Linked DNA regions of Mytilus edulis. The protein of the gene in region 1 binds, or shares a complex with, the protein of each later gene. Links are inferred from orthologs where the notes say so. Each region holds a gene or a part of one and is shown on either strand. Other genes may lie near its edges.

Evidence for each region. The genes of interacting proteins can lie anywhere in the genome.
Region 2: CCR4-NOT transcription complex subunit 9-like (region 1) and CCR4-NOT transcription complex subunit 10-like share a complex: the UniProt entries of both Homo sapiens proteins name them as parts of the CCR4-NOT complex. The link is inferred for Mytilus edulis from reciprocal best matches to the Homo sapiens genes CNOT9 and CNOT10.

The regions. Positions count from the first base shown.
Region 1 is NC_092345.1:20,339,301-20,347,136, forward strand, and holds the start of CCR4-NOT transcription complex subunit 9-like, read right to left. Parts: upstream 3,455-7,836; 5' UTR 3,167-3,454; coding exon 3,146-3,166; intron 1,176-3,145; coding exon 1,042-1,175; intron 645-1,041; coding exon 524-644; intron 1-523. UniProt on the Homo sapiens protein: Component of the CCR4-NOT complex which is one of the major cellular mRNA deadenylases and is linked to various cellular processes including bulk mRNA degradation, miRNA-mediated repression, translational repression during translational initiation and general transcription regulation.
Region 2 is NC_092348.1:14,910,121-14,917,832, reverse strand, and holds the start of CCR4-NOT transcription complex subunit 10-like, read left to right. Parts: upstream 1-4,019; 5' UTR 4,020-4,103; intron 4,104-5,050; 5' UTR 5,051-5,069; coding exon 5,070-5,351; intron 5,352-6,179; coding exon 6,180-6,330; intron 6,331-6,990; coding exon 6,991-7,052; intron 7,053-7,645; coding exon 7,646-7,712. Other genes in the region: peptide methionine sulfoxide reductase-like, read right to left, coding at 326-459. UniProt on the Homo sapiens protein: Component of the CCR4-NOT complex which is one of the major cellular mRNA deadenylases and is linked to various cellular processes including bulk mRNA degradation, miRNA-mediated repression, translational repression during translational initiation and general transcription regulation.

The sequences.
Region 1 (7,836 bases):
TTTTCCTACCTACCGACCCTTCAGTCTGAAGGTACAGTCGGAAAACTGCAAACAAACATATTTTTAAGGTTGGCCTTATAAATGCAATTATTTTTCCTGGTGACTGTATTTTTTGTTGACATCCTCAAGTTTGCTGTAAGTAGCTAGTTCAGTATAAAGCAATTTCTTGTATCTAGTTTTATAAAACTAATACAATGTATATAGTTAGTTACTGCTAGTACTCAACTACCCTAACTGTGAACCAAATACTGCAAAACATTATTTAAGGAAACAAAATATTCAAAATCATTTACTATTGATTCATTTATATTTGTGGATAACAATTTTTCTAGGATTGATGAAAACTTGTATTTTCAATGCTATTTAATTTCATGTTTTTTTCAAAATCTGCTTGCCAACCTATATTTTTTTTTTACCTCGTTGAACATTAAGCTTGTGGGTAATCTACACTAACAAAATCCACGTTAATTGGTTTTCCACAAATTATAAAACCCACAGTATGCTACGGTATATATATATTTACCGTTAAGTGTGGTGGATTTATTGTTGGATAGATGTTAACAATTTCTTGAAGTAGTGCTGCCACTGTTCCAAAGGAATGCCACAACATAGGTGCCAGATCTGGTACAACTTCCCTCTTTTTACTGTAAAAAATATAAAACTTTAGATTAAAGGGTTAACAAAGGTAATGAATTTATTGTGAATCACAGCTCTTCATCTTTCTTTAGGGATTTCTACAGGTTAAAGTTATAACAAAAATAAGGCATTGAATAATAAATAAAATTGAGAATGGAAATGGGGAATGTGTCAAAGAGACAACAATCCGACCATAGAGCAGACATCAGCCGATATATACATATACGGTAAATGTCCAAAATATCTTGAGTTGCCACAATTTTTTTCTTAAAAAACAATAGGTTATGTTCATGATGTTGTTGAAAGTAAAATAAAGAAGATGAAATTTCAGAGATGACAGCTGAAAGCATTGTTATTTAAGTCAGTATTAGAGTCAATATTGATATTATTATAAATTTTACTCACCTCAGTTCTTGCAGAGCATTTTCTCTGGTGTCTGGACTAGTTAATTGTATAATCCACTGATAAATCTTGTCTCTGTCTACTGGGGGGATGGTGGTTGGTATGGTGACAGGTCCTGTTGAAGTCATCATTCTGGCCTACAACAGAACAGATATAAATTTTTTTAATTCAGCTATAATAACTATGAAAAAAAAGATATAGTGGAGTTTTAGCAAAATTACCCTTGGCATTATTATAAAGGACACAATATATTGGCAATAATTTGAAGGATGCCATGAGTTTGAATGTCCTTTTGGTGTCTTTCTCCTATCTTTTTTCTGTCATTTGATGTAGAATGTGATCAATTGTAATGTTAGTAGTAATTGTAGATGTACATGTATTTGGTACAGCTTTGCCTTTGCATACACTAATAAATATAGCCAAGTTAAACATGTTAAAGTCGACTGAAACTAATATCATGAATATATTAAATGTTAAAGTATTTCAATTTTATTTGATGATATGTTTACATATATGTAAATTTTCTAAAGACGTTCTTTCATTAAAGGCAGTCTTTACAATGAAATATTAAAACTACAGGCCCGGAGCTCAATTTTTGAAAATTTTTAGTTAGATTCTGTTGGCCTGTAGATATGATTTTTACAGGCCCGAGAGCAATTTAACAAGCCTTGGCAGCCTGGGCTGCCACTCAGCGTGAAGACTGATTAAAGGGAGGCTAATAACACAAACAGGTACAAACAATGATTTTTTTGAACATGTAATATTTTTTTTAGACCTTACAAGAAGAGGATAGGAAATTGGGTATCCCACATGATGAATGATGGTAAATTATTTTGATTTAAAATAACGTAAAAGATAAACATTTTACTCCAGGATCTGCTTACCCTTCTGAAGCACCTGAGATCATCCCTAGCATGCCTAGTTTTTGTTGGGGTTCGTGTTGCTTATGCTTTGGTTTTCTATGTTGTGTCATGTGTACTATTGTTTGTCTGTTTGTTATTTTTAATTTTAAGCCATGACCTTGTCAGTTTATTTTTCGATTCATGAGTTTGACTGTCCCTCTGGTATCTTTCGTCCCTCTTTTTATGGCAGCTTCATAATGAGATTTGATGAATGACAATAATTATTAAGGCTCCTTTGACGATAAAATAGGGACGAAAGATACCAGAGGGACAGTCAAACTTAAAGATCGAAAAATAAACTACAGTACAGTAGATTCAAACAAGCTAGAGGGAATACAACGACAAGCAACACGCTTTTTAACAGGGGACTACAAAACAAGAGAAGATGGCTGCATAACAAACATGCTCGCAAAACTGGAACTTCAAGAACTAAAAGCCAGACGCACTAGCCAAAAACTTATATTTTTGTACAAGGTGGTTGAGGGATTGGTACCTGCTATCGATCTAGACGACTTTTTAAAATCAGCCAGACCAAGACGAACCATCACAGCGGAAAAGTTTGAGAATTACAAAGCAACAAACATAGTGGAAAAACAAGAGAGGAACAATACTAGGTGCTTTGACATTCCCATCAGTAAAACTCAACAATACTCAAACTCATTCTTTTTGTCCAGTTATTAATTAGAACCATCTTGAAGACACTATATTGTGTGCGAAACAAGCATGGAGAGCTTTAAATCTGCTCTCTCGAAACATCAGTAAACAGATGGCACCTTCACCCCGTTGTATTAAAGCCAGAATTGGTAGCTAGGACGTTACCATACAGATACAGAAACTGACAAAGATAGCGGTAGCAAAAAAACAGGGGTTGACAATAAATCATAATGTTCATTAGTACCCCATAAAAAAATTATACAATTTCACATTTTATTTGTAAATGGCTGATTTCAGAGCTTATAAACTAACTCTTTTCATATTGTTTAAAATACACCTCAATGACTTTTGTCTTCTATAGTTAGTGTCCTGTCTTTTTCTGTAAACTTTATGAAGATTCTACAAAATGTATAAAGGTTTCTTTGGTTGAATCATTTTTGTATTTTGAAAGTGTAAAGGGCTAATTATTTCATGTTTATGGCGTCAAATCTTGCAGACGAAAAGACAATCACGGTTTTATTGGATTCTTCGTGTTCAAAGCAAATCATTACCTGCTGTTGTGCCATATTCATTGCAAATATTTGCTGGAAATCGGTTTTTGTTTTGGCACCGACCCCCTTAAACCGGAAGTGATATTTTCAGCCTGAAGTGAATTTTTGAATTAAAATATTTGATCAGAATCATATAAGTCTGTACAAACAAATATATCCCTTTCAGAAAAAATTATCCTCGTCAAAAAATCTTTAGTCTTTAGTCTAAAAAAATCAAGAAAAGCGTGAAGAAATAGGCGAATCGTCAAAAAAGTCTTTGTCCGAAAAGTGCTTCATTATTTTTCGTCTTTAATCAAACATGCAAATGACGTGGACGTTTGTTTTGATCAGACGAAATGATTTTGAGATGTTGACATAATATCTACATATATATTTCTTTTTTCTGCAAGAATGAGAGTATGCATTTTACTTTGGAAAGCGAAAGAACATCTAATTACATCACTTATTTATAATCTAGTCTGAATGACTTTTATTGGTTAACTTTGAGTATCCTTTAAGTTTTAACATGTTGTTGAAGATCCTTAAAATAATATCCCCATATATGAATCACAATAGCTCTTTTTTTCAATTTATCATGGAATCTTTTTTGTGTCTAATAGATCTGAAAATTTACTGCTATGTGTTCTATATTGTGTATTGTACATGGTCCAGCTGATACTTACTAATAAATAAACAATCAACAGCTGTGACTCGCATGTCCACAAACAAAAAGTAAAAATGTACATGTACCACTCAAAAGGCACAATGACACCTTAGTCCTAATACACAATTTGTACACACATCCTCAGGTATAGTAAGGACTTTATAAAATATAAATCCAAACACAAAATAACTTAATATGATAATGGACTGTTTGGTACAAATATATTTATATTACGTATACATGTACATTTTGTACATGTACCTACATGTATAGAAAAACAGTATAAACATGAATTAGCGTCTTTGCCCTTGAGTATATTTTGCCAAGCTGTATAGTTAATTTGTTTAAACGTGTTTAATTAAAATAATCTTTTCTACATCATCCTGCTGATTTTTGGTGGAAGAAGACTTCAAGTCTTCTGAAGACCTATGGTGTCGACTTTACAACCGTTACAACCTCTGTATGCCGCCTCCATTTCTGTGCATTACAATTTCATAACAACTTCCGATTCATGACACGTTTTATAATATGTCCTTGCATTTATTAAAAAATATTAAAAATCGTTTAAAAACACTCTCAAACACGATTTAGTGAAAATCATCTGTTCCTTATTTTGTTCCCAAGGTAAAACAATCGTGTTCAGCCAATCAAATTCTGTGTTTCTAATGATCAAATTAATAAGCATATCAAAAACATTTTCTCTGAAGATTATTCTAACATGCTACATATGTAGATTTTGAACTTTGTTGTTTTCATTTTGTAAAATCGTGAACATGGCACTGCAGCAAAGAGTGTTCTTACACAGCTTAAGGATAAAAGCATGGCTGATTGACAAAATTCAATGATGCAGTACTACCATAAAGATAATACTGAATAGTATTTTTATGCCCCACCTACGATAGTAGAGGGGCATTATGTTTTCTGGTCTGTGCGTCCGTTCGTTCGTCCGTCCGTTAGTCCGTCTGTCCCGCTTCAGGTTAAAGTTTTTGGTCAAGGTAGTTTTTGATGAATTTGAAGTCCAATCAACTTCAAACTTAGTACACATGTTCCCTATGATATGATCTTTCTAATTTTAATGCCAAATTAGAGTTTTTATCCCAATGTCACGGTCCACTGAACATAGAAAATGAAAGTGCGAGTGGGGCATTCGTGTACTGAGGACACATTCTTGTTTTCACTAATTTATTGACATAATACATGTACATTATTTTTGTATTCAATTAAATTTTTTAATGTACAATGTACTATTTTTTTTTTCACAAAGACCAACAAACAGGTTTGACTGAACATAGAAAATGATTGTACGGATGGGAAATCCATGTACTTATGACTATCTTTTGTGGATAGTTGTCTCATTGGCAATCATATCACATCTTCTTTTTTATACTTATGACACATTCTTGTTTGAAGAAAAAAAATACATCATAACGATTATGAAACAAAGCAGGCTGGGTTAGTGGGGATGCTTTTATGGTAATTCAAGTTACCTTTTATTCACCTTCTTCCACCTCAGAGCTATCAGCTCTTTGATTTTTGAAGTATTTTAACTCACTTGTGTATAATGACAGTATTGAATATTTTATAATTGAAATATTAAAATAATGGAAACAAAATCATATACATAATATAGGGTGGTATACAATAACTTGTAGAAATAAAAACCCTATATAGTCAGACTTAGGGGTATTATATTTAACATGCAATTTCATGTTTACATATTCAATAGGCTATTTGCCAATTCCCGTAATTGACCCTGTAATAAGAGATCCCTATTTTGGTTGCCTCCCTTATTAGGGACATTAATTTTTATTTACAACGGAGAGCTAGTAGAAAGAGCAAATTTACCTGTGCGTAATGTGAGTAATCTACATTGTATAAGGTTTTAAAATCTTTTAATTACATTAATGATTAATTTGTTGTTCAGCTAAATACTTATGACATCAGAAATTATTTTTAATGAAAAATTAGTTAAACTGATGATTCTTCACTTTCAATTCATCATGCTTTGCATTGGAAAATGCCAATTTTGTCTGGTATGGAACCAGTCAACGATTGACAAAGGGAAGTAATTTGCTTAAAAAGTGTGTAACTTGCAAATGAACTATTAATTTTATTATATTTGTATTATCATGATTATGGGAAATAAAGATTAAAAATGTAAAAAAACACTTTTTAAAATCCCTCAATGTACATCTTTGTCTTCTGGAATCTTTGGAGTGTCATGCTCTCTGCACATTAAGAACCCTGACAACAACTTTAGGGGTCTATAGGTGGCCTGTTAAAATGTAAAATTTCTGTCTTTATCCAATATATCTTCATTTTCCAGTGGGAGTCAAAATTTCCTTCGCTTACAGATTCTACTATGTACAAAATGTACCTATTGTATTTTTAATATTGTTTATCTATCTAGATGTAAACAGGCATGACATAATTGCCACTTGACATTGAACAACCAACAACTAATCAATTTATAATCTTGATTATCCTCGCTTATGATTATTCAGGTTGTGTTATTTTGGGAGAACAACCAAAGACTTCCATTTAGGGACAGGACAATTATTATCTCGTTTTTGGGGAAAGACGGCTTCAAGCCGTCAATTCCCTAATGGGGTTGGCCAGAGTATCATTCCCTCACGTCAATCATTTTGTTTTGATAGTTTGGAAACCCCCTCAAAATGTCATACTGAAATTGATGACAAAGAGAACAGATTGACTTTAAATACATTTTTTACACATTTCCCTTCTGTTTCTCGTGAAATTATCGTATATTGAGCTTTCCCTTACACTATATACGTTTCTTTTACAGTCCGGAAAAATCAGTATTACGAAATATTCTAAATATATCTAACCTAGTGACGTCATTGTTGGAATGCCACACAGGGATATCCTTTATTCATTATAAAAACCAGTCACAGTATTTGTATACTAATTTAAAATCCGTATTTGTTAAATGTAAACCTAATGATATTTGCTGTAGTGTAGATCATTCACACACCAACATGCAATGCTTTAATCTGAGTCTATAATCAGATAATTTGTAAGTTAACATTCGCGGTAAACAATGTCAATGGGGATACATGAGTTTGGGGAGAGAAACGACAGTTTTCATTGTTTCTGTAAAGTTCTGTTTTTAGAATCTTCCTCCTATTCAGGAGCACCTCCATTGATGAGTAATTATACACTAAAATCAAAGTAAATGTTTCTGAACACTTAATTAAAATGTGACATTTAGTATATGATAAGTAGTCTTCTATATAAAAAAAAATTTGTGTACCAACATAATTATTGAAATGGTTAAAAAAAAAATTAAAAAAATTAAATGTTGCTTTTTGTAGCTTATACCTATTGAGATTGGGGAGAGCAACTGTAGTTTTCATTCTTTCTGTAAAGTTATGTTTTTAGAATCTTTCTCCAATCAAGGAGCACCTCAATTGATGAGTAATTACCCACTAAAATGAAAGTTAATGTATCTGAACACTAAAAATATCACATTAAGTATATATATGATAAGTAGTCATCAATTAAAAAATAATTTTGCATACCAACATAATTATTGTAGTGGTCATTTTTTTTTAAATATTGCTTTTTGTAGTTTAAAGCTATTTATTCATGAATTTTACAGATATATCAAAATGTGGGATCTGGAAACAAACTTCACACAGCTTATATCAATCATATTTGATTTTATAAGTACATGTATCCCTGTGATGAGAGTTGTAACTGGGAAATTTATCAATGGGAAATTAAAACTGAATAGATTTTTCAGTCCTCACTTTCTTGAGAATAGTGTCACAAAAAATTGAGAATGGTCTTAGCCTGCCGTTCAGTTGTACATAATTAAAATTCTAAAATATATTGTATTAGTTGTTAAATTCAATTGAATTTTAGATAATTAACTCCCAACTTTAATCAAATGTTTTGATTTAGAAGGTGCAGATCTCATTGGTCCAAATTGTCTCTATGATGAATTCTTGACTAAGGAAATGAAATAACAATAAACAACAATTAGTTTCATTATTGTTAGCCTTTCTATATGTTCTAGCTGTTC
Region 2 (7,712 bases), on another chromosome or scaffold:
TCAATTATACAATTATTTCCCAATTATACAATTATTTCTCAATCCACCTAAACTTGTACCAAGGGTCCAAATTTCACAATATGAATTACTGCGGATTCATTATTTTTTGTGGGGTAACAATTTTCATTGATTTAGTGGGTACAGATAAACCATGGATTGAAATGATCACTGAATTACACATTTTCTAAAAGGTTGTATGCAGACATTGGCCAAACCAAGAAATCAAATATCCACAAAAATGCAAGTTTTGCTCAATCCACAAAATTTGGTGCCCACGAAAATAAATGAATCCACAGTATTTGTATATGTCTTTAGTATATCTTACTCTTCTGCATCATAAAATGTATCAGCTTTCTTTATCTGAGTTACTATTGGTCGTACCATTTCCTTCTGCTGTTCTTTCTTTGATTCTTCTGCTTCTATTTTCTGTTTAGTGTTATGATAAAAGATGGCTGACATGTACTGGGTTCCGTGAGATGAAGTAGGATTGTGGAATGACCAGAATTTATTCAGCAGGTCACCATAGCTTATTTTACTGGGATCATACTCTAAGCTGATACTCTCTGTATGATCTCCACTACAAAATAGTTTACAGTTGAAATCAGTTCATTACAATTTGAATGTAGTATATATAAAATTTAACATTTTGAGCATAATATTCTCCCTATCTTACCTACATTGTATCATTCATTCATTTACATGTCTTTATGACCTTACCAATCTAAATTAAATGAATCTACAGTTAAAACATATTATTCATTTCTGGCAAAATTAAATGATAAAATATAAGAACATGCAACTGTTTTTCAGAGTAAAAGTTATTCCTATTTTCCCACAAATTGTAAACCAACTAGTTTTTGTGTGCAATTTATTTTAGAGTATAAAACTATTGCAAATATATAAATTGTCTTGAATATGAAAAATTGGATTTTGGTTTACTTAACTACGTAATGAAATTAAATCGCTGCGAAATTGGCTAGAATAGGCAGAACGAGAAATAAAATATTCACAAACATAAGTTGGTTTACAGCATGTTTCAAGAAATTTTAATGAACAGATTAGAATATATTTGTTGTTATCTATACAAAGGTAAATATCATTTAGAGAATAAACCAAAAACATATAAAATTCAAAATTTAACACTCATTTGTTGAAACCAAGTGATAAAATAAAGCAAGTGTTATTCTTTTCCATAACATAGTGTGCAGCAGGCAACTGCTAACCGTTTTTGTGCTATATGAGTTATGAATGTCACAGTAACATATAAAGCCTGCATAAGGCATCATAAGAATAAATTTGACCAAATAAATTATAACTCACATATCTTTTAAGCTGTAATCAAGGTAATATAATAAAAATTTATAACAGACTAATCCTTTATCAGATCAATATAATGTCTTACATGTTACGATAGGTAGCATTCTTGGTGGCTCCACCTGTGAATCCCACTTTGGTTCTGACCACACCAGGTAGACATCCAAACTGGGCCTCAGGGAACCAGAATCAGCTCAGGGCAAAAGTTGCCTTACATAACCTCCCTTCTTCTAGTGGCATAGTGAAGATACTCTACAAATATAAAACCTTTGTATTCTCTAGATAAATCATTTAGGCCATTGTGATTGAGGAGTGGTTCTGAAAAATGCTCACTACGTCATAAAGTGTAAATATACTTTAAAATAATGGTGCTTCACCCAAGAAGTACTCTTCAATGGTTATCTTTTGTCATTTGTGAGACTTGGTGTTGTCTGTTGATGGCAGATTTTTTTTATAGTTAAATTTGTTCAAAGTTTTTTATACTCTTGATAATTTTGAACCTAACAAATGGTATGACATGTAAAAGTTTAAACAAATGGTACTAATACAAATGTAGCTTTAACAAACAGAGTTTCACCCTGATTTTATACTTTGACATATACAATGTATATACATATCATCGAGTAATGTGTTTTTGGACTAATAACAATTTTCACTTCTCACGGTTTTCAGTGGAGTTTTTATTCAGGTGTGTACTCAAAATTTTAAAAACATGTTCTATCGAATGTTTGTAGATATCTAGATTTATTTGTCAAGGCTAACTATGACTTTTTACTAATTCTGATTATTTTGCGATTTTCGTATGTCAAAAAACAGTGTCATATGTTTTCATATGAAGAAAAAACGGAATCAGTTCACAAACAGGAAATGACTATCAAATCCAGAAATGAGTAATTTATAAAGTTGTGGTTCTGGTGATTGCTTAACTCATAAAAAAGTTATTTAATTCTTTTCAGTATTAAAACTAAATAGTAAATAGTTTTTGGTTGATGTTTCATGCGCTGAAATTCTTACATTTTGATTTTTTTCAGATTGGCACTGGGTTTCTACAAAAGACCTTATTTCTGAAGTTTTAAAATTAGTGATTAAATGTAAAAAGCTAGGACTGTTTTTATCATTATATATTAAGGTTGTATAAAAAGAATTGTCAATAGAATGTTGAATGAATGGAGTTTGAACAATCCGATTTTATGTAAGAACCCAGTTAATCTTAACTAGCTGGTTTGTCACAAAAACTACAGAAAACATACATGACAGTCGCATGTCTTGAAGATGCAGTGTTTGACAGACAACCAACATAGCTGTACTTCATGTAACCATTCTGAGTTTTTCTCAACAACTATTCTGGTGATGCATATTTTTGACAGTAAAAAAAAATGGCTGAAACAGGTAAGTTTTACTAAATTTGTTCTAACATATTTTAACACGATTTTGAATATGATTTAAAATTGTGAAGTTGTAGTGTGGTTGTTGTTCCAAATATAGAAACCGAAAAACAAGTCACAAGCCTCCTCTTTTGTGAGAAAAATTTGGTTGATCATATTGGGAATCACTGAAGCATGACTGAAACCCCCCCCCCCCAAATTATGCATATTTTCCCAATAAAAAAGGGTAGAGGTTGTTTTGAAAAATGCCAACAATATCACTGAGAATTTTATGAACTACTGGACCGCAAACTTTCCATGAAGTAAATGAATGCTATTTGCAAAATTGTAAAGATCAAAGAGGAGAACAGAAGATCAAGGCAAAAAGTGTGAAGCATATCTGTACCATAATTCAGTGGCCATTTTAAATGGGGGGTTCCTAACTTTGGACAAAAGGGGGGGGTTCCAACTATATGGTGGGTCTCATTGGGGTCTAAGCGTGACGCGGGATTGCCGATTTTTCGTAAGCGTGAAAGTCAAATTATTGTGTCGTGAAAACGGGAAATGAGGTCTTGCGGGACCCGGGAAATGACAAAAAAATTAGAATTGCTTACGTACATAGTGTAAGCGGGATACAGGAATCTGACAAAACAGTAAGCGGGATCCGAGATCGGAACCCCCCTATATGTTCCCATTCGAATGCATTGATCGGCCAAAAAAGGGGGGTTCCAACACCGGAACCCCCCTGGATCCGCCACTGTATAATCTTCTTTATTCGTCTTGTCACAGAATGCTTGAAATGAGTTAGCCCATATTACATTTATGATTAGCGTCATATTCTTGTTTACCTATCTGAACTATAAATGGCTGTGTTTATATAATATCATTGTTGTCTGTTATGTCTGTTATTATTTGACCTAAACTTAGGCTAAAGAAATAAATCCATAATGACAATTATAATATAAAATTGAGGTTCTACCTGTTATACCCTTTAGATATTGTTTTTAGGTATACACTGTAACTTTTAGATGTCAAATTGTTTTATAGGTATACACTGTATTAACTTTTAGATGTCAAATTTCAGTAAATCTGTTATCAATTCATAATTTAAAGGAAAATAGTAAATTTAATAATCCAGGAACCAGTTCCCAACAAGATTAGCCTAAATTAATGAAATATTATTATATTAATTTTGAAGACAAAATACATCTATAGTTAATATTGTATTGCTTGTATTATTAAAAATACTTTTGGATTTCATCTTTACCTCTAATGTAGTTAAGAAAAGTATTGAGTATTATTTCTTCAATCTATGATTAAAGTGGAGTCAGATATAAAATCATGAAATTACACTTTTCCCTCAGACAAGATGGATGCCTGCTGAGTCCAGGCCCAGGTCGGAATTTGAAAACAACAAACAGCAGGGTAACATAAATTTTGTATCCTCTGAAATAAATTTGAAATTATTAACATAAATAATATGTATGACTGGTTCAAGAGTAAATCCATGTAACATGTTGAAATGACATAATTCAAATGATCAAATTATTTCCGTCGTGACCTCAGGCTCAGTAAATAATTTATTTCTGGTTAAATCGCACCCGGTATAGTCAAATCGGCACCGACGGCAATAGTTGTACTGATTTCGACACCCACGTTAAATATGTTGAATATTTAAACTTTATTGTCGAGCCTGTGAATTTAGTTGCAAAAGAGACTGGCACACATTCATGACATAATTTCTGTGGTCATTAATGTTGACAGGCGGTATCAGGTCCGTTCGCACCCAATACATTTTGACACTCTTCACCTTCACACCACACATGTTTGTCCCGTTATAGATAGTGTACCTTCAAGCTTCTTTTAAAATGAAAATAAATGCCCTGCATCTTTACCTGTTAACTGATTTGAGATGTAAACAAACACAAAAATAAAGCATTGTCATCATGGTCATAATCTCTCTTCATTTAGAAACCATGATTTTTTTCATAGCAATGCACTAACCAAAACATGATTAAGATTTATGTTCAACACAAAACAAAGACTGACAGATGTCAGAATCTCACTTTATTTAGGAACCATTAAAAAAATATATTTATAGCAATGCACTTACCAAAACTCGTTTACAAAATAATTTAAACACAAAACTAATAAAAATTGGTTGCTAAGGTCTAGGGTGCAAAAGTGAAAGGAGGCTCACAGCAATGGGCGTGAACGGCCCCAGATTTATTGGAGGCGGCGTCCAAATATGTAAAAGTTTTTGAAATTTAAATTGAATTCTAGAAGTTTCATTTATATATTGGTTTGTCAGATTTTGATATTGATATATTTGTAAGTGATAAAAAATAAGTTATCTTTATTTTTTATATCAGGTTCATTTACAAGTAAGTAATGGCATCACAAGAAAACAAAGATGATTCTCCCCAAGAGACTGTAGATATTCCACCACCTATACCTTCAGTCACAGAACCTCAGAAACAGATAGCCAGCCAAGCTCTACAGGAATTTGAAAAGAAGAACTATGGTGCCTGTTGTAATCTTACACACAAACTTTTTGTTGAACGTTCAATGGATCCTAAAGTGGTCCACAACAAAGCAGTAGCTGAATTTTATCAAAGTGGATTCTTGACTACAGATGAATTTAGACAGAGCCTCGATAAAGTTTGCCAGATGGTATGATTTAATTTCAAATATGTAAATTAAAAGTGTTATGTTATTGGGAACCGTTGCAGTGGTTTTGAGCAATTATGCTTCCCTTGAGTACTAGAGGTTGTAGTTTTCAACTTCTGGCCAGGTCAATCCAGAGACTTTAACTTGGTATTTGCTTTTCCACTAAGCATGCAGCATTTCATGGTTAGCAAACATTACTGCTTGGCTCAAGATTCATAATAATATATATGAACTGCTGAACTAGCTCATTAAAAATTGGGTTTAAAGATTTAAAAGTGCATGCAGTGTTGTATTTATTTATCTATTTATTGTGAACAGAGATAATCATAAATCTCTAATTATTGTTCAGAGAAATATTATAGGCTATACATGCTATAGCTGTAGTCTCTTATAATAAGGATATCAAGAGAATATATTTGGCAAATATTTCCCTGTTTTTAAACTGTTAAAAAGGATTGTTTGTTTTTTTTTAAACTGTAAATGTGGCTGGTACTGTATACTGAATCAAGTAATAACATCTGCCAGCTTGTCTCTTCTACAATGAAAATTATTGTAAATAAATGTGTGTGTGGACTTCAGGATATCATACTAATGAAATATATTAATTATTGGCTGATAATTAAGTTTGCTGATTACTTTGTCCGATGCCTCCTAAAGGAAATGTTACATTGGCGGTCATTCTCCATCCTGGTCTTTTTAGTAATCACATAGGAAGTTATTTCTAAAGCATTTTGTAGAAATCACCCAGGAACATAGTTATGGGTGTCTTGATGATGATATATTGCTATATTATAACTTTGTAGTAATATACTTGAATTTTTATTTTCTCAGGCTAACATCAGCATGGATAACAGTGACAGTTTAGAAGATGTGGATCATAGTGTATTGTATTTTAACCAAGCCGTTATATTTTACCATCTCAGACAGTATAAAGCAGCCACAAAAGTCCTTGACAAACTCTTTCAGTTTATCGAACCTATAGGTATTATGTACACCATAGTGTATTGTACTTTATCCATGACCATATGTGTAATGTAAATTAATCACTGATTTTAACATTAAAAGTTGATTTTCATCATTGTTCCTCTACTATCAGTCAAATTGCTTTTATTAAGGTTATTATTTGACAATGTTTGAGTTGATTTTGGTATAACTTATTTTTGGATGTAAACACATCTTCTGATTGGCAGACGTTGTTATGTTTATCAGCTCATAGACATAATTTTGTCATGTGACCATGACATCATCACGTTTTTCCATGATTTACTCCGGTTTGATATGGAAATTAGAATTAACTTATAAGAAATGACTGTAATATTTTTTTTGTCTTCGAAATAACATAAATGTGGTGCACACTTTAAAAAAACAACACTACAGGGGTTATTCAGTGTGACCACTATTTGATGTTATATCTTTAGATTTATTGATTCATACTGAATTTAACACCCAAGTAAATTTTCCAATACCTCCTAAACATATCTATCCTATTTTTAATATATATTAATTCCATTTTGATAAGTTTTTATTTTTACAGTTATCATGCTTGAGGACAAGTTGAACTGTGTTATAGTAGATTACTTATGTTTTTAATGGTCAAACGCTTATTGTTACAAAAACTAACTGTCTATTTGTTTATTTTCAGAAGAAAATTTGGCAAAGAAAGCAATAATGTTACTTGTTGAACTATATCTGTGTACTTTTCAAGTAAGTCACTATATCACATTGATTCATTAGACAGTTTATGCATTGATCTTCAAATGAGCTCAATTCAGGAAAATTTTTGGCTTTATTTGTCCAGTCTGTGAATGTAAAATAAGAAGATGTGGTATGATTGCCAATGAGACAAATCTCCACAAGGGACCAAATGAAACAGAAATTAACAACATCGGGTCACCGTATGGCCTTCAACAATGAGCAAAGACCATACCGCATAGTCAGCTATAAAAGGCCCTGAAAGGACTAATGTAAACAATTCAAATGAGAAAACTAGCAGCCTAATTTATGTACATACAATGAAGGAAAAACAAATATGTGACACATCAACAAAAGACAACCACAGAATTACAGGCTCCTGACTTGGGACAGGCACACTCATACAGAATGTGGCGGGGTTTAACATTTAAGCGGGATCCCAACCCTCCCTTAACTTGGGATAGTGGTATAACAGTACAACATAAGAACGAACTATAAAAATCAGTTGAAAAAGGCTTAACTGATCAGATGAATAGATTAATAAAACAAATGGAACTACATCTAACAAAAATACATATTATCTTTATTTATTTTTCTTCTTACAGCCAGAGAAAGCGATGGGAATGTTAAGTTATGCAGAGAAGAATGTATTTAATACTGGGAAATCAGGGG